Mus musculus: one gene and its partner. The protein of the gene in region 2 purifies or fractionates together with the protein of the main gene of each other region. This does not show direct contact. Links are inferred from orthologs where the notes say so. Each region holds a gene or a part of one and is shown on either strand. Other genes may lie near its edges.

The links. The genes of interacting proteins can lie anywhere in the genome.
Region 1: the proteins of Nck1 (region 2) and Wasl purify together in Homo sapiens (co-immunoprecipitation; 4 studies listed by BioGRID and IntAct, with this or other methods). This does not show direct contact. The link is inferred for Mus musculus from reciprocal best matches to the Homo sapiens genes NCK1 and WASL.

The regions. Positions count from the first base shown.
Region 1 is NC_000072.6:24,662,196-24,666,232, forward strand, and holds the start of Wasl (neural Wiskott-Aldrich syndrome protein), read right to left. Parts: upstream 2,801-4,037; 5' UTR 2,449-2,800; coding exon 2,341-2,448; intron 1-2,340. UniProt on the Homo sapiens protein: Regulates actin polymerization by stimulating the actin-nucleating activity of the Arp2/3 complex. Involved in various processes, such as mitosis and cytokinesis, via its role in the regulation of actin polymerization.
Region 2 is NC_000075.6:100,508,135-100,511,634, forward strand, and holds part of Nck1 (cytoplasmic protein NCK1), read right to left. Parts: intron 539-3,500; 5' UTR 521-538; coding exon 295-520; intron 1-294. UniProt on the Homo sapiens protein: Adapter protein which associates with tyrosine-phosphorylated growth factor receptors, such as KDR and PDGFRB, or their cellular substrates. Maintains low levels of EIF2S1 phosphorylation by promoting its dephosphorylation by PP1.

The DNA of each region.
Region 1 (4,037 bases), on a different chromosome or scaffold from region 2:
TTACTTAAAATCTGGCACCATATAATGGTTTCATTTCTTAACTTTGTAGATAGAGCTCTCAATGTATCTGCTTATTATATTTGTTCTGACCTGTAAATTTGCTGCTTGATTTATGAGAATGCATTTATTTCACTGTTGCTTTAAACTACAAAACAAACAAACAAACAAAACAAAACAAACAAAAAAACCCTCTGAGCAAAGCCTATTAGGATTATTCCATAACACCAATTTTACATTGCTCTCTATTAAGCCAAAGGCTTCATATTTTACAGTAATTTTCACAAGAAAGCAACAACAATGTGGTTTTAAGTTACTGCAATTCAAAAGGTAAAGTTGATTAATAATATATGATGTAAAGAAATTGAGCACTGACTACTTGTAACCATTTCAGTAACCCACTTATGCTTACAGTGAGCCGTGTTATCTTTGTCTATCGAAATATACTCCCACATCTGTCATTTCCTTGAAACCCTGGGTAAACACTACAGTAAGCTCTGAGCAACGCATATACTAGAACACAAATGAATGTCTGCCATGCCTGAAGTTCACGGGCCTGGTATGTGAACACAGTGAGCTACTTAATGTTTGATAGACTGTACACTAAAGGTACTAGACCAGCAAAGATGACCTCTACCCTGCTTGCAGGCAGCTCATATTAAAATAAAAATAAAATAAAAAGATTTCCCTAAACTGAAAATTATGCAAAAATTAATGCTGCTTTAAGAAATTTACATTTTATTTCTATTAATTTTATGTAAAAAATGAAGTAGTTATTCCTTTAACACCACTTTGAGAGACAAATCAATAAGGGGAACAAAATCCTCACCAAACAACATGATGTAGTGGAAAGTACAAAGTAACTGGGCATATAGTTCCAGTTACATTCCTAAATTACTATGTGACTTGGGGCCAAGAGCTCCATTTTCTCATTTGTTTAAAGAACTATAGAGGACAGACTTGGTTCATCTTTAAAGTAAATTTTCTCCCAAACTCTTTTTCTTCTTTTTTTGAACCACTGTTTTCTACTTTAGTCAGTGAACGCAGTGTTCTTTAAAGTCTAAATTTTAGAACAAGAAATACATCTTAAGTCCGATGGAATGATTTGGTTTCCCAAAGTCGATATGAACAGTCAGATCATGAAGTTAACAATTAATCTGGTAACTTTCCAGAAACTGTCTCCTCTTAACTTCTTCAGCAGGTGTAGTCTGATTCTGACATCTCCAACATTGCCAAGGGAGGATATGAAATGGTTCAGCTCGGCTGAAACTTCTCTGGGTGTTTCCTGGGTTCCAGAGGCACAGGCTCTGTGAGAGCTAGCAAACACGGCAGAAAGGGAGCCGGCTAGCATTCCAACAATCCCCCTTTCAACTCAGTCACCTCAGGAAGATCAAGATAAGGCCTTCACCCAGAGAACCTCCCCACCCCAGAAAGGCCTGCAGCCAACGTAATGAATGCTTCCGTCAATAACACCCATTCCCCTTCCCACAGAACTGCTTGCTCCCAATCCGCCATCTGGGGTTGGAATGGGCCTCCTCACAGCACCAAACTCAGAACCACTTTTGATCCCAAAGGCCGTGAGCTATTAGAAACTGTCGCTTCCCTACGCATGGCTTGGGAGCGAACAGCACCCTACACCCCACCCCACAACGCCAGGGAGGAAAAGAAAAACCCACAGTGGGGCGGAGAGCAGAAACTAGGCCTAGTTTCTGCTGGAGAAATAAACCCCGTTTTTGTTTTTTTGTTTTTGTTTTTTGCAATTGGGAGCAGGCGCATTTCCTGCCCTTGCTCTGATCCTAAGTGTCCATGAACCTGCACTGCACTTTATTCTCTCCCGGAATCCTTAAGGCGGACCGAAAATCCAATTCGCTTCTTTCCCCATCTATTCATTCCTAAAACCTCTAGCATTGTTAAAGAAGATAACCCAGATCCAGAAGTGGGAAGTGAAGCAAGGGCCAATGCTGGGATCCTGTCCTGAGATCTTAAGCTGCTGATGCACGAACAAAATCCCCTTGTGGTCTAGAGTAAAGTTTGAACCTGCAGCAAGGGCACGGACCCGGCCCGGCCCGGCGGACCTGGGCTACTGGGCAGGCCTATGGAGGTGACACTCCCTTGTTCTCCAGCAGCTGGGGGAGGTGGCTCCGGGCCGGGCAGGCCTGCACCCGGAGAGCTGGGTGAGGGGAGCCCCAGGGCCCGGGAGGCTGGAGGCCTGGCCCGCAGCAGCACCCCAGCCGTGCCGAGCCTGCCCCCCTTCTCCCTCCTACCCTTGAGTCCCGTTCCCCCCCAGCCCGAACCCGCCAGTAGACGTTGGGGGGTGGCGACAGGGGGGTCTCGGCTACTGACCACACATTTCTTGCCGAGGAAGGAGAAGAGAGACTCGTTCTCTTGCGGGGTGAGCAGCAGGGAGCCCACGTTGGTGACCCTCCGCGGGGGCTGCTGGCCCGAGCTCATGGTGTCGCCGGTGGGGTGGAGCGTCCAGGGTCGTCACTTCTGGCGGCGGGCGAGCACTCGGGTCCCACTCTGGGTGACAGGGGCGCGAGCCGGCGGTCACAGCCGCAGCATCCCGTCGTCGCTCCTCCGGCGCGCGGAGGCCGAGGGAAGGAGATGACGGCGGGCGCCCTCGGGCCGCGCGCCGACAGGGAAGCTCCGGGCTCCCGCCCTGCTCAGCTCCGGCTGGATGGTCGTTGTCCTAGCACTCCGGCGGCTGCGCTAAACTCCCTACTCCTCCAGTCCTCTGGCGGCGGCGGCGGCAGCGGCGGCGGCGGCAGCCGCACAATCCAACATGGCAGCGGGGGCGGGCGAGACCACGGGACGCGGGACGCGGGGGAGAGCGCCGGAAACTCGGCAAGGCGGGACACCCCCTCGGTTGCTGCGTGCCGGGGCGTGTCCTACCCAGGCCCCGCCCCTTCCGGAAGCGGCAAGGCTCATCCCGGTTGAGGTCTTGTTGCAGGCTAGTCGCCCCCACCAATGACCACCGCGCGCGTGCGCAGACTCAGAGCGAGGCAGGGCTGGCGGGTCTCCTACACTGACTGCCGAGCCGGACGCCCCCTTGCAGCAGCGCCCACCTTTGCGGAGCGTCGGGTCCGCGTAGCCAGTGTTTGTTAGGCATCGAAGCGAGACTCTCAGGCCGCCTGTCAGGGAGATCTAGTTTAGCTGGAGAGAAAGGTCGGCCGGCGTAGTTTCGGTCAGAGCCGCAGGTGCCTCGGGTTTCTGGATCTTAGTCCCGGCCGCCAACGGGGCGTGGAGGGACATTGCTAAGATCAGGATAGACATCTTCAGAGATGTCAAAAACAGAATCGCAAAAGGCGTCCACCACCCGCCTGGCGGATCTCGTGGGATAGGTGTGTGTAGTTTTTTCCTTGCCTTGTGAATTGGAAACTACCCCTCTCAATCTTTCTCTATCTCAAGTTGGAAGCACCTTGTCTCTTTAATTCAGGATGAATGCACGCGTTTGGGAATGTCGTGTAGGAATACACCTTACCTCTTTTTTCCTTACGAGTTAATTTCATGGCTCTGTATTCTAGGTGCAGGGACCTAGGGCCTGGTGCATACTCAGCCAGCTGAGCAATATTCCCAGCAGAAGTAAATAATGAGAATTCATTACTGTGTTTCATAATATTAAAGGTTAGTATAAAATCATTGGTTGAAAACTAAAAAGCTTTAATTTAAAAAAATTGGAATATAGAGATGATAAACCAGATTACAGCGAATTCTATAAAATGTACATCCTACTATTAACATTAATCATACAACGTATCACATAAGTTGTACTAACGATGTTTGCTAATTACCTAGTTCTAATTAAACAGTTGCATATTCAACTTTTATGACAAACTCTGGTAAATTTCTGATAGCTCTCAATACATTGATAAACTATTACCGACGAACTGAAAACAAAGCTGTAAAGCTGCCTATAATGCACATAATGAAATTGGGTGATGAAGAGCAAGCCTACAACAGAGGATGTGCGAATATACTCTTAGGAGTTCTCACATAGTATATGGATATCTCAAATTATGTTAATGTTAACGGAAAAGATA
Region 2 (3,500 bases):
TAGTGGCAAACTTTCTGCAAATCAAAACTCCACAGGAGCTGTTGTAACAAGGTCAAAGTTGGGCTGGAGAGATGGCTCAGAAGTTAAGAGTACTGACTGCTCTTCCAGAGGTCCTGAGCTCAATTCCCAGCAACCACATGGTAGCTCACAACCACCTGTAATGGGGTCTGATGCCCTCTTCTGGTACTTATATACATAAAATAAATAAATCTAAAAAAAAAAAAAAAAAAAAAAAGCCAAAACTAAGATCTAAAATGAAAGCTGTTGCTTCTCCTTCAATAAGAAACAACTTACCTAAGGTGTCCTTCAGGTTTTTAACAATAGATGCTTTCCGAGCACTGTTTTTTCTTTCCACATAGTTAGAAGGGACAAAACCTGTTTTATTCATGGAATTTCGAACTCGCCACCAGGATTTAGAGTCATCCAGGAGCCATAATCGCTCATTCTTCTTGATATCCAGCTCTTGTTCCTGCTGTGCCACATAATCAAATTTGGCCACCACCACCACTTCTTCAGCCATCTTTCAGCAGCGTCAACACTGTAACACATAGAACATGTTTTAAATGGTGCTGAAGTGTAATTGTCTACATGCTTGTCCAAAAAGACATGCTTAAACATTTAAGAGGCCAGGAATTATGACTCATACCAGCAAACCTAACACTCAAAAGGCTGAGGCAAGAGGACTTTCATAAGGCTGAGGCTAGCCTTGGCTACATACTAAGTTTGAAGCTAGAATAAGCTACAGAGTAAAACCCTGTCTCAAAACTAATATACAAAACAGGAGATGGGCGGGGCACTATGCAGTTCAGTAGTAGATACTCCTAGCCCGTGCACAGCTTTGAGCTCAATTCCCAATACTATAAAAAAGAAATAAATTTAAGAGTATCAAAAAGTTAAAAGTGATATGAAAAATGCTAACAGGCAAGTACTAATTTTTAAAAAACACTTGTTCCTATTTGGTATTATATAAACTAACTTACATTTAAAACCACCGTTAGCAATGAAATTCACTACACAGACAACTGAACATTCCTCTTAAAGTAGATAAAATCAAACTTGTATACAACAAATAACAGATGCTTTCTGAACACTTTTGTCTTCCCATATAAGTTATAAAGTACAAAATTAAAATATATTGGTATAACTACAGGAGAAAATAACAGATTCATTATTATAAGGGATAATTTTTAACATATTTATCTCAATTAACAAAACAATCAAGGAGACAAAAGCATCAAGGTTATAAATAACACTGTATTAGTGAGATATAATCGGCCTATATAAAATGTTACTTCTAAACAAAAGAACATATATGGAACACATAAAAACCATCAGTCTGAGGCTAAACAAAGTCTTAGCCGTAAGCTCAGCGCCTGGAGGCTGAGGCAGCAGCATCACAACTCTGAGGCCTAGACAACATTTCAGATCTCAAAAACATCTCTCTCCTTTTATAGTGTTCTCTGGACTGAGAACCAAGTATAACGGATAAATGTGTATGAAAAATGAAGTAATAAAGGCAGGAGCAATGGCTCAGCTATTAAAAGTACTTCCCACTCTTCCAGAGAACCAAGATTTGGTTCCGACTCCCTACCTCAGGCAACTAGCAACCCATTTTAACAACCCCTTGTAACTCCATCTCTTCTCTCCTCTTTATCTCTCTTTCTCTCTCTTACACACACACACACCAAATAAATTAAAAATATTAAAAATAAATATTTAAACTGGAATAATGAAGCCCATTACTTTATAAACTGGCTTAAAAATTATTTTAAACTTTCATGTAACTGGCAAAAGAATTTATGAAGGAGATGTTTAGTTAAAGTTGGGGCTGTTAGCCATAGCCACTTAACACTCAGGAGTTAAATCTCTAAGCCCCTCTCTAATTAAAATGACAATTCTGGAAATATTAAGAAAAAGAAAAAGAACATGCAAATACTAGGAACCGCAACTGTATACTGCAAACAGTCAAAGGGAATAGTAACACAAACAACTTTATAAATAAATCTGAGGACAATAAAATACAATGATCAAACTCTATGAAAAATAAAAAAATATAATTGAATGAGTTAGTTGAATTGTTGGTTTGTTTTGTATTTTGAGGCACTGTTTCTCTGTGTAGCCCTGGCTATCCCGGAACTCACTCTTGTAGGCCAGGCTGGCTTCGATGCCATAGATCTACCTGCCTCTGCCTTCTGAGTGCAGGGATTAAAGGCATGAGCCACCACTGCCTAACTTATATGCATTATTTTAAAATATATATATATATATATATGCAAACACTGTCCTGAAACGTAAGTTTAGACTTGATCTCACTCTGCTTTCTTCAGAGAGATTGTTTCATAAAAGCAGATATGCCTCATGAAGCAAGCAAATAAATTCAGCCTTTTATTTTGGGTATTGACTACCATGTCAGTTTTCTCAACAATGAAGTAAGTACTTTAATCCAGAATTCAACATCCTTTTGCTAAGTATGTCAACAAGATAGATACAGACAAAGGATTTGCAAAAGCCTCAAAATCTGCCACACATTGTTTTATGCTTTGTAAGGGAATCACTTAAGTCAACAAAAATGCTTTTAAAAAGAAGAAAAAGAGACAACATGGTGTATAAGAAACACTGATGAACTAGGAAGGTGGTAGTATCAGTGGTAGTATTCTTGCCCAGAATGCACAAGGCCTCAAGGGTTTGATAGCCATCATGAGAAAAACATAGATGAGCAGAGAAATTTGGGGGAGGGAGTGAGGGGACGCTACTTGTATTACTGCAACTTGACGGTCTGAAATTACTTACGCACAAAGAATCTAAATTATTACTGACATATGTTGTGATTTAAGTTAGAATAAAAGCTGAGGAGGTGCTAATGTGCCTGCTATGCAAACCAGGGGAAGAATTTGATACCTAAGAATGCCAGATGTAGCAGCACACAACTGTAATCCCAGAGTTGGGCACAGAAAATTCCTAGGAGGTAGCATTCCAGAATTTAATGCCAGCCCATCTAGCAGTCTAGCTAGGTTCAGTGAGAAACCTTTTCTTAAATTCTTAAATATAAGGTAGAGAGCTATTAAAGAAGGCATGTAGTTGTCAACTCAACCTCTGACATACAGACAGACAGAGACAGAGACAGAGACAGAGAGAGAGAGAGATTTTGATTGATTTTACAATGAGCAGCCAGCTTTCTGAAACACTGGAAAACTAGAAGCAGGGATATTTTTCAAAGATAGGCTAAAGAACTATGGCTTCTCCCTTATACACCACACCTAATTTATAAAAGCTTAATGGACTTTATTTTGATACTTGACAACTGTCTTGAATTTTTTTCTAGAAAAGTGTGTAAAATTAATAATGAATATTTGGAAAAATATTATTTGCTGACAAACTATATATTCCAGAATTTAATGTCTCCTGTTTGGAGCATACTTGGATTATCCTTCTATTAGAACCTATTGTTATTTTTAGCAATATAACTTGGGAGACTAACTTTAGCTTCAAGCAACTGGATT